Linked DNA regions of Alligator mississippiensis. The protein of the gene in region 3 binds, or shares a complex with, the protein of the main gene of each other region. Links are inferred from orthologs where the notes say so. Each region holds a gene or a part of one and is shown on either strand. Other genes may lie near its edges.

The links. Proteins that work in one complex are often made in the same cells at the same time.
Region 1: EXOSC2 (region 3) and EXOSC7 share a complex: the UniProt entries of both Homo sapiens proteins name them as parts of the RNA exosome core complex. The link is inferred for Alligator mississippiensis from reciprocal best matches to the Homo sapiens genes EXOSC2 and EXOSC7.
Region 2: EXOSC2 (region 3) and EXOSC5 share a complex: the UniProt entries of both Homo sapiens proteins name them as parts of the RNA exosome core complex. The link is inferred for Alligator mississippiensis from reciprocal best matches to the Homo sapiens genes EXOSC2 and EXOSC5.

The regions. Positions count from the first base shown.
Region 1 is NC_081828.1:136,666,028-136,677,222, reverse strand, and holds the start of EXOSC7 (exosome complex component RRP42), read right to left. Parts: upstream 4,065-11,195; 5' UTR 3,894-4,064; coding exon 3,837-3,893; intron 1-3,836. UniProt on the Homo sapiens protein: Non-catalytic component of the RNA exosome complex which has 3'->5' exoribonuclease activity and participates in a multitude of cellular RNA processing and degradation events.
Region 2 is NC_081838.1:1,543,931-1,553,073, forward strand, and holds EXOSC5 (exosome complex component RRP46), read right to left. Parts: upstream 3,113-9,143; 5' UTR 3,063-3,112; coding exon 2,966-3,062; intron 2,890-2,965; coding exon 2,776-2,889; intron 2,574-2,775; coding exon 2,452-2,573; intron 2,298-2,451; coding exon 2,157-2,297; intron 1,950-2,156; coding exon 1,860-1,949; intron 1,703-1,859; coding exon 1,610-1,702; 3' UTR 1,565-1,609; downstream 1-1,564. Other genes in the region: BCKDHA (2-oxoisovalerate dehydrogenase subunit alpha, mitochondrial), read left to right, coding at 3,533-3,598, 4,162-4,341, 4,419-4,505, 4,595-4,703, 4,801-4,962, 5,208-5,414, 5,498-5,639, 5,991-6,162 and 1 more; B3GNT8 (UDP-GlcNAc:betaGal beta-1,3-N-acetylglucosaminyltransferase 8), read right to left, coding at 7,281-8,450. UniProt on the Homo sapiens protein: Non-catalytic component of the RNA exosome complex which has 3'->5' exoribonuclease activity and participates in a multitude of cellular RNA processing and degradation events.
Region 3 is NC_081835.1:59,316,876-59,327,129, reverse strand, and holds the start of EXOSC2 (exosome complex component RRP4), read right to left. Parts: upstream 4,315-10,254; 5' UTR 4,300-4,314; coding exon 4,067-4,299; intron 3,744-4,066; coding exon 3,642-3,743; intron 2,311-3,641; coding exon 2,265-2,310; intron 783-2,264; coding exon 693-782; intron 1-692. Other genes in the region: PRDM12 (PR domain zinc finger protein 12), read right to left, coding at 7,909-8,291, 9,949-10,060. UniProt on the Homo sapiens protein: Non-catalytic component of the RNA exosome complex which has 3'->5' exoribonuclease activity and participates in a multitude of cellular RNA processing and degradation events.

The DNA of each region.
Region 1 (11,195 bases), on a different chromosome or scaffold from region 3:
ATATGGGAAAGGGAGGCTAGTTTTGCATCTTGTAGACTCAGCCATGTGTGTGTGTACATGCATGCAGGCACATGTGCAGAATTCTGTGAGCCTACAAGGTGCACGGCTACCCTGCCTTTCCCATATATTTAGCACAAGCTTTTGTGAGCTGAACTGCACTTCATCAGTTGCTGTGAAAAGCCTGGCATCCTGAAGTGAGCTTCAGCTCACAAAAGCTTGTGGTAAATCACAGAACTATACAAAATTAGGGTTGGAGGAAGGGGCTGTCAGGTCATCTAGTCCAAACAGCTGCTCAAAGCAGGATGATCCCCAACTAGATCATTCCAGCCAGGGCTTTGTTGCACCGGGCCTTAAAAACCTCCAAGGATGAAAATTTCACCACCTCTCTAGGTAACCTGTTCCAGTGCTTCACCAACACCCTGGTGAGAAAGCTTTTCCTAATATCCAACCTAAATCTCCCTTGTTGCAACTTGAGACCACTGCTCCTTGTTCTGCCATCTGCCACCATTGAAAACAGTCTAGCTCAGGGGCGGACAATTATTTCAGGCGGAGGGCCAATTACCCAGTTTTGGCAAGCTGTCAAGGGCCACACAGGTAGCCCCGCTCCTTGACAGGTGCCCTGCCCCCTGGTCACCATCTTGGGACCAATGTCCCAATGTCTCAGGGCCAGTGCCGGTGAGGCCCAGAGCAGGGAGCAGGCTGGCAGGGGTCTGTGGAGCTGGATTGGGCTGCACCAGCAGGGAGTGGGGAGCTGGCCTGGCTCCACAGAGCCCCTGCTACCCGGGACCCCTGTATTCCTGCTGTCCTGCTCTGGGCCCTGCCGGCACTGGCCCCAGGACACCAGTGTGGGCCCTGTGTACCCGCTCACTCCCAGTGCCCCCTAAGCCCCATGGTACAGGCAGGGAGCAGTGTACAGCCCCGACCCCCTGCTCCATGGCAGGGAATGAGCTGGCGCTGCGTGTGGGGGAAAAGCAGGCCCCCTCCCCTGCCCCCAGGGCACGGGGCATGGGGCAGGGAAGGGGCTGCTTTTCCCGTGCTCAGCACCAGCTTGTAACCTACCCCTGCTACCAGCTGGGGCCCCACACTGGTTCCAGGCTCACCCGTCGGGGCTGTGCCTTGGTGGCAGCAGCTGCAGCCCCCCCTGCTTGCTGAGCCGAGCGGTGTTTACCACCACTGCCTCTGGGCTGCCTAGTGCGGAAGCTCTGGGCAGGGGGCGGGGTGGGCACAGCTGCTGCCACTGTGCACAGCCCCAAAGGGCAAGCCCAGAACTGGCGCGGGACCCAGGCTGGCAGTGGGGGTGGGTTACAAGCTGGTGCTGAACGCAGCACCAAGGGACAAGAGTGGGGACAAGAGGCCCCTCCCTCACTCTGTGCCTGATGCCCTGCACCACAGCTGTTCACAGTCTGCGTGGGGCTGCCTTTGCCTGCTCAGGACAGCTCTGTGCGGGCTGCAAGCAGCTGCAGCAGGGAGCACTGCCCATGGGGCTGGGGAGGGACCACTTTTCTCCAGGCTCCTTCCCTGCCCTCCCCCACACCCCTTACCTGAGGTTCTGGCCAGTGCAGCCACATGGTCCCAGGTCAGAAGCCCCTGCTGGGGCAGGAGCCCACTGGGCTTCCCCTGGGACCTACTGGCCCTGGTTCCAGTTACTCTTGACATGAACTAAAGACAGATAAATATTAATTTTCTAAATTTTTTAGGAGCCCCATGGGCTGGATAGAATGGCCTCATGGGCCGGATCCGGGCCATGGGCCATATTTTGTCCATCCCTGGTCTAGCTCCATCCTCTTTGGAACCACCCTTCAAGTAGTTAAAGGCTGCTATAAAATCCCCCCTCAGTCTTCTCTTCTGCAGACTAAATACACCCAGCTCCCCCAGCTTCTCTTCAAGTCCTGTGCCCCAGCCCCCTAACCATTTTCACTGTCCTCCACTGAACTCTCTCCAACTTGTCCATATCCTTTCTGTAGTGGGAAGCCCAAAACCGAACACAATACTCCAGAGGTGACCTCACCAGTGCTGAAGAAGCAAATAATCACTTCCTTCAATCTGCTGGTAACACTCCTACTACTGCAGACCAGGATGCTGTTAGCCTCCTTGGCAACAAGGGCACACTGTTGGCTCATATCTAAATATACATAAAAAGTGGGATAAAAATGTATGTTGAGAGGTTTTCACCTTGTAGACTCACGAAACTGGATGCGCACATGCATGCATGTGCATACATACTTTGGTGAGTCTACGAGATGCAGGGTGAGTCACATATATTTCTACTATGCCTGTAATATATTTAGCACAAATCTACCCTGCCTTTCATGTATATTTAACACAAGCTTTCATGAGCTAAAGTGCACTTTTATCAGACACTGTGAAAAGTAGAGGTGCACTAATATATCAGCTGCATTTCAGATTGGCACCGATAAAAAAGAAGTTTACATTATCAGCTATTGGCTTTTTTTGGTCCGGTGCATCTGATAAAGTTCACTGATAAATATAATAATTATGCCTTCTGGCCAGGACTCCCTTACGCCGCGTACATATGCATGGCCACACGCATACACATGGCCAGGAATGTGGCCGGGCAGCCTGGAGAGCAGCTCCCTGCAAGTAAATCTATGGTGGGCGGGAAGAGCATGGGGGAGGGAGATCAAGGCCCTCATGGTGAGGGAGGGAGTGGGGCAGGAATTAGGGATGCTGCCCAGCCAGAGCAGTGAATGGGACCTGGGGCAAGGGCAAGACGGAGCTATGGGTGACTCGTCCAAGGAATGTGTGGGGGGAGGGGTGGGATGGCTCCCCATCACTGTGCAAGCCCCAGAGAGGGCATTGTGGGGTCATGTGTCCCTCCAGATTTGTGCGTAGGGCGGATGCAGGCTGCCTGTTGTGGGCTCAGGGCTCTCTGCCCTGCTGCCTTTTCCCCAGGAGCCCTGCACCTCCCGGCAGCAGTGAGGGTGGCAAATTGTGAGGCCAGCGTGAGGCTCCCAGGCAAAGGCAGCAGAGTGGAGAGCCCCGAGCCTGCAGTGGGCAACCTGCATCCAACCTTGCCCTGCTTGGCTCTGCTCTGGGCTTAAAAAGGGTGGCAGTGGCACTTGAACTAAAGCTCATTTGATGAGCTTTAGTTCAAATGCCCCCACCACCATTTTTCAGCACTAGGATGCTGATACCCTGGACAAGCCACTTGCGGCTCTGTCCCACTCCATGCCCCAGGTCCTAGTCACTGATTTGGATGGGCAGTGCCGCAAGCCCCAGCCCCGCTCCCTCCTTCACCTTGGGGGTCTTGATCTGCCCCGCTCCTTCCCTTCCCCTCCAGACTTACCTGCAGGGCGCTGCTCTCTAGACCACCCAGCTGTGCTCCTGTAAATCACTTATTAAGTCAGTAACATCCGACATGCCTGGTGAATAATTAACTATGGGTAACAGCTAATAAAGTCTTTATTGGTGCACCCCTAGTGAAAAGCCTGGCTTCTTTTTCATAGCACTTTATGAAGCACACTTCAGCTAATGAAACCTTGTGATGCCTAGATGTGAAAGGCAGGGCAGCTTTCACCAAAGCAAGCCTACCTATGCCCACGTGCACACACACAGGTTTGTGAGCCTTCAAGGTGCACAGCCCCGGCGCCCTCCCCCACTATTTAGCGCACCACCGCCCTCCCTCACAAGACAAAGCCCAGGACTGCAGAGAGCAATCCCCTGCGCCTAAACCAGTCCGCCCACGGGGTCTCTTCGCGCCCCTGAAGGCCACACGGAGTGAGAGCCAGGAGCGGGCACCTCCATGGGGCTGGGAGGGGGGAAGCGGCGCTCCGGGAGCAGCGAGGCGGAGCTACTGGGGGAGGGGAGCCCGTTACCTGGATCCCGTGCACGACATAAACCTTCTCCGCCTCGCTCAGCACCACAGACGCCATGCCCCGCGCCGGCTCGTAAACACTTCCGGCTCACTGCGGATGCCGTCATCAAAACGCAACGAAGTTCCTCGAACCCTTGTCAGCCGACGTGAGGCACAGCATCGGGTGTACGTAACTTCCACCCCGTGACGCGTGGTGGAACGACTGACGCCCCCTGCGTCACAGGCTCTCCCGCCTCAAGGAACTGTGAGGAGTGAGGCACTAACTGGGCGCATGCGCAGGGAAAGTTGAGGGTTTGCGCATGCGCATCCGTGTTACTTGGAAAAACGTATGTGCGTATAGGTGGCGGCTGAGCACACGCGGTTTACCTGCCTACCACCGTAATGGCGCATCGTAGTCTCTGAGCGCTAATCCACTGAGTGCATAACATAGAAACCAGTGTGAGAGCCTGCAGTGCTGGCTGGGCAGGCTCAGGGGGCAGTGCAAGATACCACATTTACCCAAAGAGCCCTGTTTACCCTGATCTTAGATCAACACAGCTACCCCCTGCAGCTATGCACAGCAGCACTCAGCTTGTCCCTGTCTCTGGAGGGGGGACAAGAAATGAATCTTAAGCCAGCAGCTTCACCTGCTGCATCTCTTGATGGAGGTGCAGCCTGCACTGAGTCACGGTGCGGGTGAGTCACATAGAAGGTGCATGCGTGCACACACCCCAGGGACACTGAAAGAACATGGTGATTACAAAGACAATGCCTCAAAGTGGGGAGATGGCAGAATTTTAACACTGATGCAGGAGATCCTATGGGTCACCTCATTTATGCTTCTCACAGGTCAGGTAGTCTAACTGATTTCCTTCTTGGGTGTTTCTTGAGCCCTGGTCAAAGGGACTTGTATTTTGGACATCTAAAGACCTTATATAATAGGGGGGTGGGGTGTCCAAGGTGTCTCAAACTGGGGGGACCTAAAAGTAGTAAATAGGTCTGACCGTAATTTCTCAGACTTGGTTCCTCAGTGATGGAACTGGGGATAATAATACCCAATAATTTCCTTAAAATAAGTTCATTTAAGCATACCATGCGCTTACATGCCATATGCAACACTATAGCAGCTATAGGAAGCCCCCTTTTTTGAGTCCTAGTGACAAGGTATTTAGCAGAATTTGCAGTTTTGTTGGAATATGACAGGGCTGCGCCATAAGCACTTCTGTTATGGCCTACAGGAAACCCTAGATGGAAATTATGGCTCTGTCTTCAGAGCAGCGCTTGAATTGGGTGTGACAAATCAAACACAGGGATTCAAACTGAACTAAAAGGAGAAGTAGTGAATAGCTCATCCAATGAGCTCTGTCTTTTTGGGTACTTCTGCTTCTCATGTCGTGTCTGAGGTTGTTGATGAGAGGTATTTAGCTGAATTTGCATGTTCATTAGAATCTGGCAGGGCTGCAATGTGAGCACCTCTGCTATGGCCAGTCTGCTATTTTGGGCACGGGATGAGGCAGGCAGTCATCTGGAATACATAGTATAGAACCATAGAGCAGTAGGGCTGAAAGGGACCTCCAGAGGTCATTTAGTCCAACCCCCCTGCCTGAGGCAGGATCGTTCCTATCCAAACCACCCTATACAAACCATAATCTAAACTCTACGTAAGACTACCATCAACCCTGAAGGAATACAGACCCAGCACCCTAACCTGGCACAGAAATGTTCTCAATGTAGATTCAAGAGATTGGGACTAGAGGGCTACAGAGAAAGACAAACTTCCACAGTCCAAACCAACCTGATCATGGGGTAAAATTCCTTCCTGACCCCAAATATGGCGATCAATTTGACCCTGAGCAGAAGAATAAGATGCTCTAGCCAGGAAGCTGTAATTAGAGCTAGTGACTGTCATAACGATACAGGCACCATCGGGCTGCTAAACTGAGCTTCGACAGGTTACCTTCATTCGGAATTTCCTACATTTTGAGCATTTTGACTTTGCAACCTTAACATTCTTTTAACATAGGGTTTTTTGAGGGGGACATCATGTATGTGTTTTTTTAATCTTCAAGGAGTAGCATACTGTGGTTAGCATTTTTGTGATACTGTCAAAAGAAGCTTTCTTATCTACTGAGCATGAGCAAAGTGCAGTATTTCAAAGGTTTAGAACTTCAGTGTTGGCAACTCATGATTTTTGGCGTTGCTCTTAAAGTCTATGCTTTGGGGATGCGAAAACCGGGGGGGGGGGGGGTGCGCGTGCGTGTGTGTGAGAGCTAAGGTTTTTGTATTCCCAAACCCTAGACTTTAACAGCAATGCCAAAAATCATGAGAGTTGGCAACACTGGAACTTGGCCAGCTTTGGGCAGGTTTCTCACAGTGGTTTTTCATCTCCTTCCCCCAAATCTGAGGGACAGAGGAGGTTTCAAAGAAAAGGTTGCCAGGTTCTGCATTTTTTTTAACATGGGCCAAACAGCAATATGTATTGTCCTTCCCTATTGTTCTTACGAGTTGCTGCTAAGAACCTGGGTGTAACATGGGGGCATCCATGTGCACAAACCCATGTGTGTTTGCACATACGTGTCTATTTTTTGTTTCCCAGGAGCACCTAAATGAGTCAGGGATGCTCCTGCCTTTGAGCAAGGGGCTGGACTACATAAACTCAAGTGGTACCTCCACATGATCTTAAATGCTCCAGTGCAACTGATCAAGACTCCATTCTACTAGACACCATCCAGCCAGAAAAGCCAGCCCCTGCTTGACCGCTATTACAATTTAAATAGAATTTTATCTTGCTCAAGGCCAAATCTGTTCCAAATTCAACAGGGCAAGGCCCAATAGTCAAGTTCCAAAATTCAACTGAGCAGAACTTAATCGGCAAGTCTGTGTGGCTCGACCACAGAGCAAGTATCCTCCCTCCCAGACTTATCTGTCTGGGGCTTTGGATATTCCCAAAATCCAGGCAGGTGTCCTATGTGCAAGCTCCAGGCCCAGAAGCCCCAGGTTCAAATGCCCCCATGTCCCACTTGATCTTAGCCAAAAGGCCAAGAAACAATATTTAAATAAATACAATAGCAGGTAAGGGGGAAATGCAAGAAATAAGCAGAATGGGTCAGGCACAGCCATATTTCCTCAGGCCTTGTATTGCTTGTGGGGGAAATCAACAGAGCAGTTAACACACATCTTCTTGCAGCTTCAGAGCCCTGCTCTAGCCTTGGGGAAGCTCCCAGCTCTCAATGGACTCTTAGTCCCTCAAGCTGGGGAGGCAGAGACAGCTGGGTGTGATGCTTGGGCAGCTGCATCAGGGCAATGCCTTCCTTGCCATACACAGCTCTGCCACGAGGCTGTCTGCACCTGAGCCCAGGTGAGGCCTTGCTGCTGTGGCATCCAGGCAAACAGGTCCACAGAGGCCAAGAGGACATGGCTCCGGCCATGATGCAAATGTGGTCTCCTTATTCCTGGTCCCTTGTTCCCGGTTCCTTTCTCAAAGCTAATCTTTGCGCACTTAAAGGTCGGGAGTAATGAATTCAGTGTGCTCAAGAGTTTGATTTTCCCCCAAAATGTCTGTTGACTAATTGAAATGTAAAATAATATTAAGAACATAGGCCTGAATGAGGAGCTGAGAGGAGGCCGTGGGGCATGTAAAATAACATCACCTATGTCCCGTGGGCTCCTTTTAGCTCCTCATTCAGACCGACATACTTGATACTATTTTACATTGTGATTGATTTGTCAATAGACACTTGGATGCAATTCCAGCTCTGGAGTGGATCGAATTCATCGCTCCGGACCTCTAGCTGCGTAAAGATGAGCCTGGGAACAGGGACTGGGAGTAAGAGACTGGAAGCAGCATTGCCAGGTTTTAAATATGACTGTATTGTAAGCTCAGAATTACTGCATTTGCTGAACAATTATGCAAACAAGTCTTTTTCTTATTTACTTTGCATTGCATTAAGTGGCCAGGGAGGGAGCGCAGAAGTGGATCATCTAAAGCTGAAGCATTTCATTTCTACCCCTACCGCCCAGCAAACAGCCGTAAAAAAAAAGAAAAGTGCTGACCCCAAACCCAAAAGTGGGTCGAGGCTCTCTGAGAGCAACTTGGCTCTTCGATACGCGGCATCCAGGTCCTTTTTTGTGCCCGAAAGCTTGCAATTAAAGATATTTTTTTTGGCGGGCTAATAAAAGACACCACCTCTGCTACGAGTCCCGATTGCCTTTTCCTGTAGGCCACTGCGGCCAGGACCCGGCTATCGGGCTTTTGGAGCGCGTAAGCTCCCGCGGACCGCGCGCGGGGGCCAGAGGGGGAGCTGCGGCCGAGCTGACAGGGCAGGGGGAGGCGCCACCGCCGCCGCGTGGGGCCGGGCCGGGCCGGGCCGGGCCGGGCCGGGCCGGGCGGTGTGGCGTTTCCCGGCGCGGCTGCTTCCTGGACCGGCGGATGGGGAACAGGAGGTACCGCAGCGGGGCCCCGCGCCCTGCCTCCCCGGGCGGATGGGAGCCGGCGGAGGGCGGCTGCAGGCGGCGGCCTGGAGCGGCGCAGCTCTGAGCGGGAGCGGCGGCGACGGCGGTGCGGTAGGTGGCGGCGCTGCGGCTGCGGGGAGCGAGGAGGAGCCGCCGCCAGCACCAGGCGCGGCCTTCCCGTCCGCCGTCCCCGGCCGGCAGCCTTCCTCTGCCGGCCGCTCGGCCCCTGAGTCCGGCGCGGCGGGCGCTGCAGCTCCTCCTGCCCAGAGCCAGCAGCCAGGCCTGCCCCGCCCCGCCCACCTGTGTCCCCAAAGTCCCCTTTATTTGCAGGCGTCAGGACAGCTAGGCTGCACCGCCCGGGGGGTGCACAAGGATTAGATGTAGAGATAGACAGATGTGCCCTGCTTTGAGCAGGGGTTGCGCTAGACGACCTCCCTTCCAGCCCTCATCTTCTACCTACCAATTTGGGGGGGGCAGGGACGGGTCGTATTGACCAGCCACACAGTTGGGATGGATGTGGGCAAGCCATCAGGGGTCACAGTGCCTTTCTGGGATGGCTGCAAGCTCACCGGTGTCCATTGCAACTGTGCAGTTAGTCCAGGAAAAGGTATCGTCCATAGGCAGCCTCACTTGTCTCATTATTATTATTATTATTATTAGCTATGATTTAGGCCTCCTGCAGTCCAGCAATGCTTGTGTCACTGAAGGCACCTTCAATTCAGCTGCCCTGCAATTTAAATCCTGGAGCCCCAGGCATTTAATTGGGTAACCAAGCATCCATGCCAAGTGCCAATGAGGTCTTTGCTTGAACCGTGAAATAAGAGCACCTCCTCTGGATCTTTTTGATGACGGAATTGAGCCTCGATGAAGCAAAGTTACAAAGTCCGGCATTGCAGTCAAACCGGGAGGGAACTTGTGGTGCTTATAGTGGAGCTGACCAATTGAAAAAGATTAGGGATAGGTCCTTTGTATGCTAATAACAAGGATTTTGATTGACTTTCTAAATGTTTTTTAATCTTTTTAGAGCTTTTCCCAGCAACAACAATAATAATAATAATAATAACAACAACATTTATGATGATGATGATATGGCAGTTCCTAATTTAAATCTTAATGTTTCTCCCTGCTTACTACAATGCTAACATTTGAGAGAACAAGTGCTCTTCTCACCTATGCTGTCCCTTTTGAATATTCCTGAGCACAATGACCAGTGGACAGCAAAAATTTAAGATTCCTCCCCCCACCCCCTCACCCCCTCTGATTTTAACTTGGATAAGATCAAGTGTATTTCCAGATATATAAATGAGTCTGTGTGCAGTTTGGATTCAAAATGATGAAGATGCAAATATCGTAGATCTGTAGGAGAAAAGTACTTTCGCTCAAATTCTAATGATATATCGTTCTGTAACGATACAGTAAAATTATTGTCTACAATAATAGGAGCCTGGGGCAAGGTTCCAGGAAGTGTGACATTTTCCTGTCCTTAATGACAGCATATGATAGCCACAAAAATGGTGTTTGTATTAATGACTATTAAACACCTCTATAAAAGTGGGGCCGCACATTTCTTTTTGTCATTGCCTTTAAGAGTGCAGCCACACATGCATTAAGGATCCAGCAGTGCAAAAGGTACAGATGCTCAAGTACAGTACTTACTACCATGAGCTTTTTTTATTTAATCAATGGGAGTTGCTTATGAGAATAAGTGCTGTACTTGGATAGAACATTTGCTAAAACTTGCCAGAGGCAAGAAGTTTGATGCAGTGAGAGCCTGAATTAGTCACTTGATCAATCTAATTTTTTCCAACTACTTTGAAGGCTTCCAGTTAATCTGTATGAGAAGTATGTTGCCATTTGTTTCATAATAAAGGTGTTATTTCAGTGTTTTGTGTAGATAAGCTATGCGTAACTACTTAATCACTTGCTCAATAATCGAAGCTACTCCAGTGAGAAGTTTCCAAGAAAAATATTTGTCTTATCTGGCTGCCATAATAGATTTTAGGAGGACAAATAACTCATTCTTAAATTCATGATTACTGTAATGACGAAGCTGTCCATCTCACCATTTTTCTATGGGTTGTTCTCTTTGAGCCAATAGAGTCTACCTGAGAGAGTAGTAGACTGAGTGAATGTGAATGTTGTTAGATTGCCTTGAAATAGATGTGAAAACTTGCCTTTTCCTTTTGATGGTAACTGTGTAGTTTCCTTTGCGTTTATCGTGGCCAGACTTCCTTGTTTGTTGTAGTATCCCAGAATACTATTTCCCCTTTTTTTGTGGTAAAACCATGACGGTTGTATTAATTGCACTTGATTTGAGCTTTGTGATGAACTGGATAAAAACCATGGGAGCAAGGGAGGCAGTGCTCTAAAAAGTGACCATTTAAAATAGTCCAGATATGACTGATGGTGCCATCCTGTTTGTTCTGTGCCCTGGATCAAACTCATCTAAGGTTTAGATTCGCTTCAGAGAAGATGAGAAATTGAAACTGTTCTAATAGGAGCTTAATGCATGAACTCTAGGAACAGATTCCTGCCATGTCATTGAAGCTGCAGTGCAGTAAGTTTTAGCAGCAAATCTTCGCAAATCATCAAATAGGTAATTAGAATGCATTTTGCAAGAAGCGCTGGGAAGCCTCTCTTCAAGAAAAGTCCTAGCATATTAAGACTATAAGGAGGGGTAAAATAAATAAAGATTGAGATGATTGAGTTAAAGACCCATTCAGACAAATGGATTAGTGCCACAGAGTGCTTACCAGTATTTTTGTTAGTGAGTTGGGTCCTTGTGTGCAGAGTAATATCATCGGTCTCATAGATGGTACCAAACAGATGGGAAGAATTAGGAGTTGCAATCAACACACTGAGGTTCAGTAAAGATAATGTGGAATAGCACTGCTAAAAAAAGGGTGAACAAAACACACAAATGTCAAAT
Region 2 (9,143 bases), on a different chromosome or scaffold from region 3:
CGCCCTTGCACACTAACCGCGCAAAGCCCCTTGCACACCCCTCTTGCACCCTCACCCTATGCACACACGTGCGCCTGCACCCGCAGGACTCCACTCGCCCCTGCACTCCGGACCACTTCCGGATGCCGCTGCCACGGCAACCGGGCAGGCCCCTGCGGAATGCCGGCTTCTGATTGGTCGGAGTACCGAGCGCGCTGACGTATCACTCGCAGCCCCGCCCAAGAGAGCGGGAGGAAGGGAAGAGAGCGCTGCCCGCCATCTTGAGGAGGTCGAACTGCCGCACGGAGAGCGCCGCCATCGTGGGAAGGGAGCACGATGGCCGGGCGCAGCGCCACCTTGGGTGTGGCAAAGCAGCATTGGCCGCAATAGGAGAGCGCCACCATCTTGGGTGGGTCACAGGCCCGGGGGAGGGGCTCCGCCGCCATATTGAGTGTGGCAGGGCCCAGGGGCAGCTACTCTAGGATGCCGCCGTGCATGACCACCCTCATGGGGGTGCCACAGCTCCACCGCAGCCACCCCAGAGTACCACCGTCACCTTTAGGGTACCACAGCGCCATGGAAACCCCCGTGAGGGAGCCACAGGTCTCAGCTGCCTTAAGAGGGGCATCATGGCTCCAGGGCGGCCAGCGTGGAACTGCCCCAGCCCCATGGCAGCCACCCGGGGGTGCCACAGCCCCAGGGTGGCTGTTTTGTGGGGTGCCACGGCCCCTCACTGTACACCTGGGGCAGGCCATGGCCCTGGGGACACGTTTTCCAGCAACAGCCTTGCTGGCAGCCCGAGGTGCCCTGCCAATGCCCTGAGGGCCACGGATGGGCCCTACTTCCCCCTCCCTTGCGCCCCAGCAGCACAGGCCCAGAGGTAGATAGGTCTGCACGTAGCACCCTCGCTCTGCGGCCTGGCAGCCCTATGGGCCTCCACCCCTGCCTTCGAGAGGGGTCCGGGCCAGATCTGGGGCTGTCGGTAAACGAAGAGCCCAGCCACAGCGCCAGGCTTGTTAGGCAGAGGCTTGATAGGATGCTGCCCACACCCCCAGAGCTCATTAAATGCAGCTAACGGGTCCCCCGCCCCAAGCGCCACAGCAGCCGTGGAGAGCACAGGTCCCACCACCCCCTGGCAGCCCCTGCCCCCCAGTCCAGCCAGTGCCCCTCACCCCCAACCCACCGCCCCCTGCCCGTGACCAGAACCAAGGGGAAGACTGGGGGTGGGGGTAGGGAAAGGTGGAGAGAACCACCCCCCCCCGGGGATGGGGAAGCCACCAGTATACGTGTGTACACACACACACACACACACACACAGGTAACCAACCACAAAAAACATGTGTCATTAAGGACAAGACAGATGCTTGGGTGCTGGGGGGCAACAGCACAGACCGTGTGCTCTTTATTTGGGGACCCCAATGCCAGAGCAGGCCCCCCCATCCCACCAGAACACTGGGTAGCCCCTGGGCGGAAGCACCCCTCACTCCCACCCCTCCGCCCCCACTGCTGCCCCTCACTCCCGACCCACAGCCCCCCCCCACCTTCAGTTCAGCTGCCCATTGCTGCCCTGAGGCATGTCCTTGCCCCCCCCCCCCCCGGGTCTGCGGGGGTCCGGCTCCCCGCAGGGGCCTCAGCTCTTGGAGAACTTCCTTCTGGCCGAGTCACGGTAGAACTGGAAGATGGTGTCGGTGGCGCGCTGAGCCAGAGCCAGGCACTGGTGTAACTGGGAGGAGGAATAGAGGTCAGGGCTGCACTAGGACCCCAGTACAGGCAGGCAGGCAGGCAGCCAGGCCCCTCCCCCCCAGGAGACAGGACCCCACCCAAGGCATGCTGGGATTGCCGAGCACCCCCAGCCTAACGGGGACGACGGGGGCGCTCACCTCCTTGGCAGAGCAGGCCCCGCGCGTGGTGGAGAGCAGCAACCTCTTCTCCGTGCTCTCGAAGGCGAAGGTCAGCACCGCCCGGGCCTCCTGCGGGGCAAGAGTGTGACCCCAGGCGTGCAGGCTCCCCTCTGCCCCCCAGCAGCCCCCCTTCCTCCTGCAGCCTCACACCAAGGAGCGATCCCGTCCTAGATTTTAGGCCCCCCCCTTACTCCACGCACGAGGCATCGCCCCCCTCCCAGAGAATCCAGGCGTCCGGCTCCCATCTGCTCCCCCATCCCTTACACCCCCCCCCACCTTCTCCTGGCGGGCGCTGGGGTCCAGAGCGACGGCGCCGTCGGGCGCGAGGGCGCAGGTGACCCCGCAGAAGAGCGAGCGCAGGGGCAGCCCCGCGTCCAGCAGCGCCAGGCAGGCGGCGTTCAGGCAGCACGACAGCAGCTGGGCCCGGGGTCAAGGCCAACGACCCGGTCCCCGGGGCCTAGCGGTTAGAGCAGCCTCACCCCCACCCCACCCCCCGTCCTTCCCAGGGGGCCCGGCGAGGTTGAACGATGACGAGGGGGGGTGCATCTCTGCCCCCCCCAGGGCAGGATACGGAGCCGGCGTCGCTGACGACCTGCAGCACGAGGGTGACGGAGGAGCGGGGGTGCAGCTCGCCCAGCAGCGCCGCCTCGCACGCGCGCCGCACCATCTGCTCCCGGCTCCGCTCCAACACGCCTGCGGGGGGTCAAGGGTCAGCAGGAAGCCCCGCCCCCCGTGACCCTCCAGGGAGGGCATCACCCCCCAGTGCAAAACCCAAGTGTCCAGGCCTCTGTAGGCGCCCCCACCCCGTCACGTGATGGGGAGAAGCCCGTGCCCTCCCCCCCACGGCACGGAGGTGGAGGGCGGGGAATGACCCCGGGGTCAGGGGTCACCTCACCGGGGAGCCCCACTTTGGGCCGCAGCAGCACGTCCAGCGCGGCGCGCTCGGGGCTCTCGCGGCTGCTCCGCACCTCGGCCGGGCCGTAGACGCCCGCCAGCACCGACGTGTCGCCTGCGGGGCACCGGGGTCAACGGGGGCGGGGAAAGCCCTTAGCCCCGCCCCCACGCTCGAAGCCCCGCCCCCGCACCCTGCACGAAGGCGGCGGAGCCGTCGGGCCGCGACAGTAGCCCCTGCTCCACGGCAAAGGGCCGCAGGGCGCAGCCCGGCTCCGGCTCCGAGCCCATGCCGCCCGCACGCGCAGCTTCCGCTTCCGGGGCAGCCTTCCCCTCCTTCCCAACGCGGCTCCTGCCCAATCGCAGCGTCTCTTACGCGCAGTCCCCGCCCCTCGAGGCGGGTGGGGGGCTGGAACGCACGGCAGCCAATGGATGCGCCTCTTGGGCGCCCCTACCCCGGATAGGCCGGAGAAGCACGCGCCCCTGCCAATCACGGCGCCCAATGGGTGCAGGCCCCGCCCCTCTCCCTGACAGAGGGGCCGGGCGCGGCCCAGCCAATCAGCGCGGCGGGGTGCGCGAAGCCACGCCCCCTCTCCCTGACAGGGTGTGGCGTTGTTCCTCGTTAGCCAATCAGCACACCGCGTAGGCATGGGGCGGGGCCACCGTGGGGGCGGGGCTTCCCTAAAAGGGCAGAGACACGCCGTTGCTATGGTGACACCCCCATTCCCCCTTCTCCCATCGGCCCCCGCGCCCGCACCAAGATGGCGGCGGCCTGTGGCATGCGGAGGGGCCTGCGCCTCCTGCAGCTGCGGGGACTGCGCACGGGGGTGAGCGCGGGGGCGGGGCCTGCGGGGCGGGGCCTCGGCGGGGGCGGGGCCTGGTGGGGCACATCCCCCCTAGGTGGGGGGCACGCGAGGGGGGTGTCACGTGTGTGGGGAGGCAATCCTCCCACAGTGGGGTGGGGCAGGGGTTCTCCTGGGGGGGCGGGATGAGCTTTGCCCCCCCAGCAGTTACCCCCACCCTGTTTTGGGGGGGGCAGAGCTGGCTTTAGCCCCCCTGGCAGCTCAGAGGGGTATCAGCCCCCCCATCCTGGGGCAGGTGGCAAGCACGCCCCCCAGCCTCGGCCACTGATTGGTCCGCACCGGGGGCGTGCCCCCCCTCCCCCAGCTGGCCCCTCCCCGCGGCCTTGACATTGCCGCACCCAAGGGCACCCTGGTCCAGGAGGTGCCGGGGGGGGGGGGGGGGGGGCACAGGGACCGCCCCAAACACCAGCCCCCCCGGGTGTAGATGGAGGGCAGAGCCCACCCCTTCCCCGCACAGCTCGGGGGGCCCGTGACATCATCTGGGGGGGGCACCGCGGGGCCTGATGGGTAACGGCGCCCCTTCCCAGCATGCCGCGAGGCAGCAGGAGGAGTTCCCGTCGCCGGCGGAGCGCCCCCAGTTCCCCGGCGCCTCGGCCGCCTTCGTGGACACGCTGGACTTCATCCAGCCCAACGTGCTGGCTGGCATCCCCGTCTACCGCGTCATGGACCGCCAGGGCCAGATCCTCAACCCCAGCCAGGACCCCCAGGTGAGGGGGCGCGACCCCCGGGGTCACGGATCCGGGGCGCCGCCCACCCGCGCTGACCCCGCCCCCCGTGCCCGCAGCTGCCCGCCGAGACGGTGCTGAAGCTCTACAAGACCATGACGCTGCTCAACACCATGGACCGCATCCTGTACGAGTCCCAGCGCCAGGTGAGGCGCGCCTGGATGCCCGGGTCCCTTGGGGGGGGGGGGGCGGGCTGGGCTCCCGGCGCCACCTGCCTCGGTTTCCCCCCTGCCAGGGCCGCATTTCCTTCTACATGACTAACTACGGGGAGGAGGGCACCCACGTGGGCAGCGCCGCCGCGCTCGACCCCACCGACCTGGTCTTCGGGCAGTACCGCGAGGCAGGTAAAGCCCTGTTGTGACCCCCCCCCAGGGGGGCTGCCCCCAGCCCCTCGAGGCGGGGGTCGACGACGGTGCCTCCTGACGTGGCGCCGTGCCCCAGGGGTGCTGATGTACCGGGGGTACCCGCTGGACCTCTTCATGGCGCAGTGCTACGGCCACGCCGGCGACCCCGGCAAGGGCCGGCAGATGCCCGTGCACTACGGCTCCCGTGACCTGCACTTCGTCACCATCTCATCCCCTCTCGCCACCCAGATCCCCCAAGGTGAGACCCCTGCGCTCCCGACCTCCTGACCCCCCCTGCCCCGCTGGTGCCGCTCGCTCCTGACCCACAGCCCCCAACCGCGCCATTGCCCCTCGCTCCCACCCTGCAGCCCCCAACCGCGCCATTGCCCCTCGCTCCCAGCTTGCAGCCCTTTTGCCCCTTTCCCTCCCCTTCCCCCAAGCTGGGACGTGGCTGCTGGGAGGGGGGGTTGGTTCACTCCCCCCCTCCCCCCCGCCCGGTGCCAGCGGTGGGCGCAGCGTATGCCATGAAGCGGGACAACGCTGATCGCGCCGTGATCTGCTACTTCGGGGAGGGCGCGGCCAGCGAGGGCGACGCTCACGCCGGCTTCAACTTCGCCGCCACGTTGGACTGCCCCGTGCTCTTCTTCTGCCGCAACAATGGCTACGCCATCTCCACGCCCACCTCCGAGCAGTACCGCGGCGACGGCATTGGTCAGTAGCGCGGGGGGCGGGGCTGGGATCGGGGGCCGGGGGCGGGATCAGGGCTGCAGTGGTGACATTTGCCTCCCCCGCAGTGGCACGTGGCCCTGGCTACGGCATCCTGTCTATCCGCGTGGACGGCAACGACGTGTTCGCCGTGTACAATGCCACACGGGAGGCGCGGCGGCGCGCCGTGGCTGAGAACCAGCCCTTCCTCATTGAAGCCATGACCTACAGGTGAGTGGGGGCGGGGCTTAGGGAGGCTGGAGGTTGAGCCCTGATGGGGGTGGAGTTTGGGGAGAGGGTGGGAAGATGCTAGGAGGCGGGTCTATGCTGAGGGTCCAGGGGTCTGATGAGGGCGGGGCTTAGGGAGGGGACGTAGCCAGGCTGGAGTTGCAGGAGGAAAACTGAGTCCTGATGGGGGTGGAGCTTTGGAAGGGGGCAGGATTATGCTAGGATGCAGGGCTGTGCGGGGGGTGCAGGGGCCTGATGGAGGCGGGGCCAGGCTGAGGGCGGAGCCTGAGGGGCCTGATGGGGCAGGGCTTAGGGAGGAGGCAGGGCCAGGCTCAGCCCCGCCCCCGCCCCCAGGATTGGCCACCACAGCACAAGCGACGACAGCTCAGCCTACCGCTCGGTGGACGAGGTCGACTACTGGGACAAGCAGGACCACCCCATCTCGCGCCTGCGCCACTACATGCTGGGCCGCGGCTGGTGGGACGAGGCGCGCGAGAAGGCCTGGCGCAAGGAGTCGCGGCGCCAGGTGAGTGGTGGGGCCTCGGGGGGGGGGCACTCACCTGGCGGCACTCACCTGTGCCCGTCCCCACCAGGTGCTGGAGGCCTTCGAAGCAGCCGAGCGGCGCCGCAAGCCCAGCCCCCAGCTGCTCTTCTCCGATGTGTACTGCGACACCCCCCCCGGGCTGGCGCGGCAGCGCGACGGGCTGGCGCGGCACCTGCGCCTCTACGGCGAGCACTACCCGCTCGCGCTCTTTGACAAGTGACTGCTGGCCCCGCCCCTGGGCTCCACCCACCTCCAGACCCCTCCCACTTTCGCCAGGCTACCTGCCAGCTCTGCCTGTGCCTGGCAGGCTCCGCCCATTTTCTCAGGCCCCACCCACCCTAACAAGCTCCATCTCTACCAGGCCTTCTGCCGTCCTTGCCAGCCACCCACCATCGCAGCCTAGCAGACTCCACCCAGTCCTAGGCCCCACCCACTCCCCCATGCTTCCATCAGGCCCCTCCCACCTTCACCAGACCTGCCAGCCCTGCACATGCCTGGCAGGCTCCGCCCCCTATTGCCAACCCCACCCACCCAACCTAGCCCTACCTCCCCCAGGCTTCACCCACCCCACCTAGCCCTGCACATGCCTGTCGGGCCCCACCCACACCTCCACTCTCACCTCCTGTTCCTCCGTCCCCTTGTGCTGCCAGTGGGGGGGAGCTGGGTCCTGGGACAGCCCGTCCTCCCCACACCGCTTGGCCAGTGGCTGGAGGTGTTGTTGCCCCCGGAGCTAGGAGGGTTGTGCCTCCCCCCCGCCCACCCTTGGGGGCCTGGAGCTGGGACTGGAGCTGCCAGGAGCAGCGTCACCAATAAAGTTTGTAAGAACTGAGCTGGGCTCAGAGGTCTCTGTTGCAGGGGGACGGGGACCAGCCAGGGCTGAGGACATGAGAACCTCGGTGCACCCAGGGCGGGGGGAGAATGACAGGTCTCTGCCGTGACTTCCCCCACCCCAGCCCTGCCGGTGCCCCTCACTCCCAACTTGCAGCCCCTCACCCCTCCTAAGCAGCGACAGAGCCAGGTGCACGCAAACACCCTTTAATGCCCCCTTCATAGAAAGGCTGCACCCCCCCACACACACACACAGCCCCCCCCCCACCATCCTAGCACTGCAGCTGCGGGTCGCGGACCTGCCTCCACAGCCGCAGCGTCTCGGGGGGCTGGCGCCGGTGCACGAGCAGCAGGGCACGGTGGGCACAGGGGCTGGCGCGGTCGCTGGGCGCGATGTCGAAGGTGCGGAAGCCAGGGTGGGGCCGGGCAGCCACCCCCAGCGCCCGGAAGCAGAGCCCGGCGAAGACGTCATCGATGGGGAAGGGCGGCAGCAACCCGGCCAGCACCTGCAGCGGCCCCAGCAGCGCCCCGGAGAAGACGTAGCCCCCGCCGCCTGCGTAGGCTGGGTAGGGCCCGGCGTAGAAGCTCTCGGGCACATAGTACTTGCTGCCCGGCGCCCGCACGGGCCAGGCCCCAGCCATCACGTGCCCGGCGTACACGGGCCCCGGGCCCAGCCCCGCCAGCAGCTGCAGCAGGCGCGGCGTGTTGACGAAGACGTCGTCGTCGCCCAGCAGCACGAAGCGGGCGCCGGGGCAGTGGGCGCCGGCCCAGCCCAGGAAGAGCAGCCCCTTGAGTGTCAGGTTGAAGAAGGCATCTTGGAAACCCCAGGCCAGGACGTCGCCGTGGGCCCGGCTCTCCCAGGCCACCAGCCCCGAGATGTCCGGGGTGTCCCCGTCCCCGTCAGGTGCCCCCAGCAGGAACACGGTGCGGACTCCAGCGCCCGCTTGCCCCCAGCTCTGCCGCACAGCCTGGCGCTCGGCGAAGGCGCCCGGCGCCGACTTGATGGCCAGCAGCAGGAAGGGGCCGTCCGGGGGACACGGCCGCGACGGCTCCAGGAGCAGCGGGTAGTGGCGACGGGCGCCATGGCTCACGAAGCGTTGCAGGGGCTCTGGGTAAGCCGCCCAGTCGGGGACACCCAGGGACGCCGCTGTGCCAGCGCTGGCGCTGGTGCCGTTGCCACCTCCCAACTCCTCCAGGCGCTGGTGCAGCTGCCGGTTCCAGTAGGCATCTGCCCGGGGCACCATGTTGGCCAGGATCTGCAGGCTGTGGTGCAGGGGCAGTGGGGGCGCCGGGGTGGTAGGGGGTGCAGGGGTGGTGGCAAGCGGCAGGGGGACAGGATCGGGCTCCCCCAGCGGGCTCCAGCGGATGTAGGCATCCAGGCAGAGGAGTGTGGCCAGGGCCAGTGCCACCGTCAGGCACTTGTGGTACCGCATCCTGCTCATCAGGAGGGAGCTGGAAGGACAAGGGGTGGGGCAGGGAGGCCCTGATCCCCTCAGCCAGGTGCTGCAGGGTCCTCCAAGCCCTTCCCACAATGCCCTGTACCAGGGAGCAGGTGAGTTCTGGGTCCTGGAGCTTCCTAGAGCAATATCCAGAGACCCGTCTGTCAGAGGGGTGGAGAGGTGCCCTTAGCAGGGTGGGGGCATCAGCGCAGCCCTGCCCTCCCCCACACAGGCACTGTGGGGTCCTCCAGTCCCTTCCCACAATGCCCTGCACCAGGGGACCCTGGAGATTCCTAGAGCAACCCCCTGTCGGACTTGTCTATGAGAGGGGCAGAGGCGCCCCATAGGGGTGAGGGGTCAGGGCAGCTGCTCCCCCCCCCCCCGGCAATCTGAGCACCGTGGAGTCCTCCAGACCCTTCCCACAATGCCCTGCACTGGGGGGCAGAGGGGTTCTGTCCCCCCCAGACTTCTAGAGCAGCCCGCGAGGGCCCGGGCGCCCAGTGCAGAGGACACCTGCACAGATGGCTGCGCCCAGCCCCTGGGGGGGGCGGGGAGGGACCCACGCTGGGGGTGTCAGGCCCCGCCCCGCCCCGCCCCGCCCCACCCAGGGGACGCGAGCCCGGGGGCATTAGCCCCGCTCCAGGGCGCCTGGCATCAGTGGGCACCGGCTCCCGCCCGTGCCGGGCTGCGCGGGGC
Region 3 (10,254 bases):
CCCAGGTGAAGCTAGAGAGAACAGGTTCCTTAGATCATCAAGGACAGCACCCACCTCTCCGTTTTAACCCTGCCTGCCTCTCCACATAGATCACACAGCCTCACCAGGGAGGCCCTGCAGCTGAAAGCTTCTAGTCCAGGCAAGGTGCCAGACAGTGTATCAGAGGACCATCCCTGAACCAACAAGGGCGAGGGGAGCAGACAGGATGAGAACCAGCAGACCTTTCCTAGCTCGGTGCCACAATCCCAACGTGATGTAAAATCAGTGACAGCCTAGAGGTGCCATGTAACGGATGCATCTTTCCCAGGGGATGCTGTACTGTGAGTTTTAGCTACATGGAACTCACCCGACAGGGCACGCTAGCTCACGACGGAAGGGCCTTGCTCCCTTCTCCTCCATGCTAATGCCCCCTCAGCACAGGCTCAAGCGTGCAACTTCTCTCAGGGGAATTCTGCACACCACAGCTTTCATCTGGGACCTGGGGCTGCTCCTGCCCTCTCTCCAAGGCCAGACTCAGTCCCATGCAACACTGATGCATGAACTAGCTCCATATGGATGCTACAACTCTCAGCAGCCACTGGGAAAAGAGTTTTGCCGCCTCACAGAACACCTCAGCGCCCTGCTCCTTGTCTCAGCTGGTTGCAAATGGCATGAAAGGAACACAGCATCATACAAGCTGGACTTCTACTCACCAGCTCCCCTCCCGGCAGATTCATGGATGAGAGAAGCAAGACTGAATCCAGCCTGGAGTTTGTCTCCACCTTCCACCGTTTCTGCTGCACCTAAGGCGGGAAAGAGAAAGGTGGGAGAAATTCCTCTGGCTGGATCGCCAAGAGGACCTCTCTCCGTCCAGCAGGACCCTCAAGAACGTAACCCAGCCCATGAACAAATCAGAATCACAGAAGTAGGGTGGGAAGGGACCTTGTAGATCCTCAAGTCCGACCCCCTGCCTGGGCAGGAGAAAAACTGGGCTCAAGTGACCCCAGCCAGGTAGGCATCGAGCCACTTCTTAAAGACCCCCAGGGTAGGAGCCAGCACCACTTCCCTTGGAAGTTGGTTCCAGATCCTAGCCACCCTAACTGTGAAGTAGTTCCTATGGATGTCTAACCTAAACCTACTCTCCAACAACTTGTGGCTGTTATTCCTTGTTATCCCGGGGGGCACTAGGGGAAACAAGGTCTCCCCCAAACCCTTCTGGTCCCCACTAGTGAGTTTATAGATGGTCACAAGGTCCCCCCTCAGTCTTCTCTTGTGAAGGCTGAACAGGTTCAGGACGAGGAATAACTGAAGATCTGTCTTGTTCTCAGCACACATGAACAAAACTAGTGCCCTTCACTTATGGTGGGAGTGCCTGATTCATGTTAGGGCATAACGCCCTGCCAGTTCCAATATGCTATTTACAGCGTAACAAACTGATCATCAGTGTAAGAGCTAAGTGCTTAAATACCCTTTCAGCGCTACTGCCTACTTCGTAAATTACCTGTGCTTTCTAACTGCCCCAGAGACAGAGGAAGGGAAGCTGCTGTCAAAGGGCTGCTATTTTAAGCCTTGAAAATAAAGCAGATAGCTGGTTTCGTGGCTACTGTTGCCCCTCCTTTTCAAGGCTTTTAATAGCAGTCCTGAAACTATCAGACTTGGAAATGAAAAGAGCCTGCCAGTTTCAGGGCTGCTAATGCCACGGCACTGAGAGCTGCTGTGTGCTGCTGAGCACTGATCAGCTCCAATACAATTCCAGGTAAGACTTTTTCAGTCTCAAGGCTATTCTCTTAAACTCAGTACACTCTAAACCCACCTCCTACGCCCCAGAAAGAGTATTCCTGGGGGAGCAGATGTAGCACCCAAAGCTACTTGTCATCTCTGGCTTTTAAATCACTGGTTATATTAAGAACTTCCTAGTAACCAAGGAGGCCAGTGCTGTCCTGGTTTCAATGACGCGTCATGCTTTGCTCAAGGTCTCTCAGCAGCACAACCTGGAACCAAACTCAGGGGTTTAGGCCATGCCAGTACAGCTACGGGCTGAGCTTCCACAGCCTTTATGGCCAGACCGTAAAAGATCTGATTGCTTAAGTTGCTGGGTGCACCTTGGATCAGACACCCAGCCACAAATGACAGTCTGGTGGTTATCTTCCCCCTTGGCTAGGGTTGTGCCCAGGAGCACATCTGATTTATAACATGTAGGATAAGGGTAACTGGGACAATATTGTGTATCAGAGAAATCAAGTCATTCATACAAAACAATGACTAGAAACCTCTGGGCACTTTACCTCTGTGATTCTCCCAACCACGATGTCGCCAACTTCACCGTTATACCTGGGCGCAAGAAAAAAGGGAAACTGTTCACACTGGATGCAGAAACCCCTCTCAATTCAGATCCCCTTATCACTACCACGGTAATTAAACACAAGCAGGGCTGAGCTAGCACAGGTCCCAACAGCACAACCTGCTTCAACTCTAGCACAGTGCCCCAATACAGAGGCTTTTTTCCAGCAAGTTTTAACTGAGCTCAGCAGAGGTGTAAATGAATTAAATTTGCTGGGCTCTGCTACCTGAGAGGTCAGAGCGGACAATCGTGAGGTCCCTCCAGGTTTTAACAGTGACAAGCAATGTGGGGCCTGATATCACGAGGATCAGAATAGGATGCAATTTAATAAAGATAAGTGCAAAGTGCTGCACCTGGGGAGAAAGAATCACCAATACGCCTCCAGACTGGGAAGTACCATTCTAAGTATCACAGCAACGGAAAGGGATCTCGGAGTCATAGTCAACACAAAAATGAATACGAGTCGCCAATGTGACGAGGTAATAAGTAAGGCTAACTGCACTGTCTTGCATGAGCAGGTGCAAGCAGGTCTAGGGAGGCGATACGTCCCTTCTATGCGGCATTGGTGAGGCCACAGCTCGAGTACTGTGTCCAGTTTTGGGTGCCGCACTTCAAGAGGGATGTAGATAATCTGGAAAGGGTTCGGAGGAGGGCTACTCATATGGCTGAGGGCCTGCAGGTAAGATCCTACAAAGACAGACTGAGGAACCTGAATCTCCTCAGCCTCGCAAGAGAAGGCTGAGAGGTGATCTTGTGGCTGTCTATAAGCTCATCGGGGGGGCGGGGCGGCAGGGAATAGGGGATGCTGTGTTTACCAGGGCGCCCCTCGGGGTTACCAGAAACAACGGCCACAAACCGTAAAGGAGCAGATTTAGGTTGGACATCAGGGAAAAAATCTTTACGGTGAGGGTTGCCAAAATATGGAATGGGCTTCCCAGGGAGGTGGTGCTTCCCCTACCTTGGAGGCGTTTAAAAGGAGAGTAGACAAGCACCTGGCTGGGGTCACTTGACCCCAGCGCTTCTTCCTGCCCAGAGCAGGGGATCGGACTCGATGAGCTAACAGGTCCCTTCCAACCCTAGAAACCTATGAAATCACCTCTCTGGTTATGGTAGTTGGATGTAGCTGGCAAACGTGATCGCATCCAGTTTAGCAACCTTCGCCCTACCGGTTTCCGCTGCAGGGCGCACGCAGAGACCCATCCCACCCCCACCTCCAGCACCCTTCAGGGGGAAGGGGGAGACCCGTCCCACCCCACAGCGATACCCGGGCTCCGGGTGGGTCCAGCCAACACCTCGTGCGTCCTCGACCGACGGCGCTCACCTGGTTTTCAGGGCTTTGACACAGATCAGCTTGTTCACTCGCTCCACCGCACCCGCCACGGACGCCACCAGCTTCTCCTCGCCCATGTAGGTGCCGTGGCCCCTGCCGAGGAGAGAGCAGGTGACGCAGGGGGCCAGGAAGGCTCCCCCCACTCCAACATGAAGCAGGCTGGGGTGGACCCCTGCCAAGGGGGTCCCACGCGTGAGCAATGGGGTGGAGGTGGTAGGGCAGGGGGTAACCCAGGGACCCCCCCACACTGGTGCGAGCTGGGGGCCACCTGGCAAAGCAGCAGCTCTGCAGAAAAGGACCTGGGGTTACAGCAGACACGAGGTACCCCCCAGGGCAGCAGCAGAGGCCCCATCCCATGCACCCCCCCTCCCCAAAAAAATACCCCAGAGGACATTAGGAAGCCTGCCCCTCCCCACCTCATGTAGCCCGTGTCCGTGGTGATCGTGTCCCCCGGCGCCACCAGGTCCCTCCCGCTGCCCCGCGCCAAGTCCTGGCCCACCAGCTTGCGGGCCACGGGCAGCCGGACCTCCATAGCCGCCATTCCGACTCCTGGCGGCGCGGCAGCTTCAGGCCCCTTGGGCTCCACGGGTTTCCCGCCGCCATGCCAACTGCTGGCAAGAGCACGTGTGCGGGCTCCCCGCGTCGCCATCTTGGGGAAGGGCGGAGCGGGCGCAGGGAAGCCATGTTGGATCCGGGCAAGGAGGGCGGAACGGCCTTCAGTGCGTTGGGTGTTGAGGGAAGGCGAGAGGGTGGGTCCATCTTTAGTGCTGGCAGGAGCTGGAAGAGCTCTGGTGCCCCCCAGTGCTGGCTGTGGGGAGCTCCCCGGGGGAGGTCACAGAGATGCTCCAGCTTTGCCCCCAGGGGCAGGGGGCTCACAGGGGCAAAGCTGGCTCAGGCTCCCCCTTGCAAGGGGAGAGCCTTGCAGGGAGGGAAAGTGTCCAATCCCACCAGGAAAAAACTGGGGCAAGCACATAAGAGCCAGCCCCTCGCCCAGCCCGCTGCCATTGCCCTGCTTGGTCCTCATCTCCAGCCAGTGCATTTACTCCTCCAGCGCAGGACGGTTCGGACAGGCCTCAGGCAGGCGCTCGGACTAGATGTGGCCTCTGGAGGTCGCTCCCGGCCCGACTCCTCTACGAGCCTATGAATAAGCAAGAAAGCATCCGGCCCTCGTGCGCCCGACGGGACAGGGCTCTCACGCTGTCCTGCATGAGGCTGGGTCCCTTGGGAGAGCCTGCAGGCATCGTCCTGCCTGCCGGATGGTGAGCACCGTGCACCACAGCTGCATAACGCTCGGGTTGAGGAGGCACCGAAACACCCTCTGCATGTCTGATCCAAAAGGTTAAGCTGCTCCGGACATAAAAAGCCTGGCCTAGATCCTCCCACCGGGCCAACAGGCTCTGCGCAAGCCTGCGCTAGCGTTCGCCAGGCCTGCGCTGTGTTATAACGATGGGCATGTGGTTGTAAAGGCAAGTGCTGGCCAGAAGGAAATGGGAAATGGGCGCCGTCCAGTGCACTTCTGTGTTAAGGACCTGTTTGCTGTGACTGAAAACCTGAGGCTTGACGCCTTTCGTTTGCACAGGTGCTGGTGCACACGTGAGCATTGGGGGGGTGTACATGTGTGCAAATGATTTTCCTCCTATTCCAAAGACCACTCTCTTTCAAGATGCAAGGATCATCCTAGACAAACGGCAGGTCAGGACTGATCAGTGCTTTGTCTTAACTGTGCAGTGCAGTAGGGTCAGAGAGAGCAGGGTCAGCGGCATTTTTGATCATTAGGTCTGACCTCGTGCATTGCACGGGCAAGGGCTCGCCTTCAAGGGACTGCTGCACCTTGTGGCTGACGGTGTCTTTTAGGAAGGCATCCAATCTTGCTTGACCCCAAGCAGCAGCAAATCTCCTGCTTCCCATAGCAAGCTGTTTTAATGGTTTGACCCCCAAGCAGCAGCAAATCTCCCCTGCCCTTAGCAAGCTGTTCTGCTAGCTAAGGATACACGGGTGGGAACTTTTGTTCACTTCACTCCAACACAGTGAAGAGGCATAAAGGACGTAAAAAGGGAGTAAAAAGCAAGGTAGAAAAAGGAAAAGGGAAGTAAAAAGGCAAGAAAAGAAAGTAAAAAAAGGAAAAGGGAAGTAAAAAGGAGAAAAAGGAAGGTAAAAAAAGGAAAAGGGAAGTAAAAAGGCAAGAAAAGAAAGAAAAAAAGGAAAAAGGAAGTAAAAAGGAAAAAAAGAAAAAGGAAATAAGGCAAGAAAAGAAAGTAAAAAAAAGGAAAAAGGAAGTAAAAAGGAGAAAAAGGAAGATAAAAAAAGGAAAAGGGAAGTAAAAAGGCAAGAAAAGAAAGTAAAAAAAGGAAAAGGGAAGTAAAAAGGAAAAAGGAAGGTAAAAAAAGGAAAAGGGAAGTAAAAAGGCAAGAAAAGAAAGTAAAAAAAGGAAAAAGGAAGTAAAAAGGAGAAAAAGAAAGGTAGAAAAAGGAAAAAATAAAAAGGCAATAAAAGAAAGTAGAAAAAGGAAGTGAAAAAGGAAAGTGGGAAAAGGAAGTAAAAAGGCGAAATAAGGAAAAAAAAGACAAAAGGAAGTAAAAAGGAGAAAAATCCAAGGACCCCCTTCTCGTCGCTTCCCTGTGCCAAAGCCAGCATCAGGCTGTCCTAAAATACAGCAAGGAAGAAAAGTGCCTAACGATTCACCATCTAAATGGTAAATGTTCCAAGTAATTTTTATTTAGAATACAAGAGAGAGCGTGGTACAAAGGTATTTACAGCTGTGTACATATACAATCAAATAATATATAATATCAAAGTTTTGTAAATAATGTTTTACATAAATATGTACAAAGTTAAAGTGACAGTTGTTTTCTGGAAGTAAAACACAGTTTGTGAAAACTCTATACATCTCATACTTAGAATTAATATTATAATAGCTTCTCTTCCACGTTATTTTACAAATCCCCCTCTTTGCCTGGGTTCGTGACTGCGGCAGGCCTCCAGGAGGCGCTTCAGACTGCGTTCGGGTTGGGACTTGCCCAAAGGATGGGTTTCTCTCTGGTCTCCAGAGGGCAGTGGAGGGAACAGTTTCAATGGTCCCTAAGGAAAAGAAGGGTCTGCTGAAGGACCAGCGTGGAGGGGTGGGGAAGAGCTGAGGAGCTGAAGGAGAAGCAAGACCAGGCGTGTGTGTGCAGATGAAGGGCTTGCACCCTGGGCAAGGGGAGCCGTGCCCGCTGGAGGTGCCTCCACCCGAAAACATCCCATGTGGGAGCTGCACCAGTGCTCTTGGCAAAACACAGGCGTTGCATTTCCTGAGAGCACTGCTGGGCAAATCTTTTACCAAGGGACTGGCGCTGCACCTGCCTGGGCAGACCCTCAGCCCTGGGCACCGTCTGCCTGATTTCACATGTGCAGAGTTGACTGGAAAAGCTGGGGGCATGATTCTGGAGGCTGGGTTGAAGTCTCTGGGAAGGTTTCCCACCCCCCAGACACAGCAGAGCATCCCCGGCGGCGCTGACCTGGCAGGGGGACGTTCTAGCTTGCCTGGCAGGAGGCACAAATCAGTCCTCGCTGCAGAGCCTCGGTGGAAAGGAAGCTGCCCAGCATTGCTCATGCTGGAACTGGGGTTCTCCAGTGTGGGCACAGCGTTAAGGCCAAAGCTATCACGTGTTGAAGCAGGTACGGCTGCAAGAACCCCAGCAGAACCGTGCCAGCTCGGGCGATGGGAGTGGGGCCTCCTGTTAGCATTGTCTTGAGTGGAGGGGAAGGAAAGGAAATGGGAATTTTTCTTCCCTTCCTCCCACTGCATGAATTCAAAACCTGGAGGGGGGTGGGGAACCCAGAAACCTGCCTTTTGACTCTACCCACCCACTTCTGCTCCAAGTCTCAGTCCTCAACATATTAACCCTGCCACACTCCTCTGTGCCACTCGCTGCCTAATGGGCAACAAAGAGAGCCCCCAAGCCTCCTCCTTGTCCGGAGACTTAGCTCCCTCTGCCCAGGAGAGACCAGTGAGAGGAGACGTGCTGATGGGACCAAGGGGCTGGGGTGATTTTGTCCCAGTGACACATCACACGGAAGCCACACGAAAAGAGCAATGCTTCAAGGGAGGGGCCCCTCCATCAGCACGCAGCGTCACCAGCACGCCCGCCCTGCCCCTGCTCTCCCCACTGCCAGCCCTGCCCCCAAGGGCTGATGCCAAACAGCTCATCGACAACCCCTCCGTACCAGTCTCCGGCAGCTGGCAAGAGCTGCCCCAAACCTGGCCATCAGCGGGGGCTCACAGCACCATGGTGGGTATGTGATGGGCCAAGGAGGCCGGGTGGGGCACGGGTAAGGCCGGGGAGTGCGACTGCAGGGAGGCATTGGGGGGCCGGTGCCTGGCACTCTTCTGGTGGGCCCGGAGCCCGGCGAGCTGGGAGTAGGCACTTTGGCAGACCTGGCATTTGTAGGGGCGCTCGCCGGTGTGCAGGCGGACGTGGTTGCGGAGGGTGGAGGACTGGCTGAAGCGCCGGTTGCAGAAGCGGCAGACGAAGGGCTTGTCCAGCGTGTGGATGCGCATGTGGGAGCGCAAGTTGCTGCGGGAGTTGAAGCCGCGGTGGCAGATCACACAGCGCATGCGCCCCGTCGTGCTGGCCCCGCTGTCCACCGCGTGGAAGTCCTCTGCGTGACAAAGCACACGCCGCAGGGGTCAGTTGCCACCCTCGGCCCTGGAAGCCCCAGGGACCCCTGAGCCTGAGCCACTCGCTCCCCTCCTTGTGCCTTGATGACGTGGCCTCTACATGTGGGGTGAATCAATCACCGAGAAGCACCTGTCACATCAGCGCCATGCTGCTCCTGCTCTCCAAGGAGCACTGTGTGCATTGGGGCACTGACAAATGAGGCCTCCCACCCCCGGGGAGGAAGCCATCATCCTCTCCTTGGTATAGGTCACAAGCCTGGCTGTGGGGGTAGTGGGGAGGCCAGAATAGGAGCCAGGAGGCCTGCCGTGCTGCCCCTAGCAGTTAACTTTGGATCACTGGTGCTGAGCCCACTGGCCCTGCTTTCTACCATGTCCTTCCCAGGGGTCTGGTAGATGCCAGCGCGCCAACATCTCCCAAGGATGGAGCAGTGCCATTCTGCCAGGAAAGAGCCTTTCACCCCCACCCTGCCTGAGAACCAGGCTCAGCCTCACTTTGCATGGGATGTGCGTCCAGCAGCATCACTGGCTTGCTCTGCTCTGCTCTGCTCTGCTCTGCTCTGGAGGTGCCTCTGGCTAGAGTAGCCAGGGGTCTCAAGGTCAGGACGTCAGAGCATCGGCAGAGCGGAGCAGGGACCAGCGCAGCAGACGCATGCAGCATCTGTCTGCCAGCTCCAGCCAGCACATCCAAGCCCTCCTAGCCCTCAGCCCCATGAGAAAGCCATGGAGGTGGAGGCAGGGCTTGGCTGTGGGGAGCAGCTGGGGATGGAGGTCCCAGCTGGCAAGAGGACTCACACCCCTGCTCTTGTCGTTCTCTGGTGGAGGAAGGGGGAAGCCTGGGCTGCCTCTGGACCCACCCGCCTGTCTGCAGGCCCTGGCCGTGACGCTGAGAGGCCCACCCTGCTCGCTCAGTGCCCTCAGCGTGCTTCTCTGCCATGCTCCCAGGGTGGTGGCAAGGGAGAGTGACCCTCTGTGAGCCCAGATCACGTCTGTGCCCATGACCCCCTCTTCAGGGAGAGCAGGAGCAGGGGGCTTGGCTGCGAGTGCCACAGCAGGGGCTGCTCCCAATGTCCCCTCCATCCGTCCCCATGAAAACCAGCAGGAGGAAAGAAGCAGAGGATGGGAGAGAGGTCCCTGCTCTGGCACCCTGGGAAAGGAAGGGGTTGCATAGGGTTAATGATGGGGAAATTGGTGAGTCGGACATGAGACCAGGTATGCCTCTCCATCCCCTGGCTGAGCAGGAGTCATCGCCTTCTCCCCAGCACCCAAGGAGGGAAGCATCACTTCACCTCTGGCCTTGGAGGCAGGTTTTCCCTTACAGGCTCAGCAGGCAAAACAGCAGTGTCCCAGGCGAGCTGGTGTGGGGGAAGGCTGGGAAGCGATGCTAAGACCCACCGAAGTCCTGGGGAGCTGCTGATCTTTATGCTTTAAATAGCTGCCTCTCTCTACAGGGCACAGAAGGGTGCTAGAGGTGCCAGCCTGTTGACAGGGACCGGCACAGATGGGCTGGACAACAGGTGCCCGCTCCAGATGCTGAGGTCTAGCTGCACCCCTCCCACCCCCCACAACCTGGCAAAGGACCAGCTGGTGGGTATGGGAGGAGCTGGGGTCCAGGTGCACTTTCCATCCACCCCTACATACCATGCTTATTCTTCTTCTGCTCTTCCTCCAAGCCGGGCACGCCAGGGATCCCCAGGAAGGTGTTGTGCGAGTTCCCATACCAGACCAGCAGCTCTTGGTCCGGAGGAATCATCTGCAGGGAAGGAGACGCAGACAGGGGGAGAGGTGAATACGGTTCCCCTGGGAACAGCTGGGGCCAGACCCCTCGAGCCAAACTCGCCCCTGGTGACAGGACACACCAGTATTTGGATTAGGAGAGGGTATTTGGATTAGGAGAGGGAGCAAGCTCTCACCCTGCCAGCCAGGCCCCCAGCCCCTGCAGCGGCC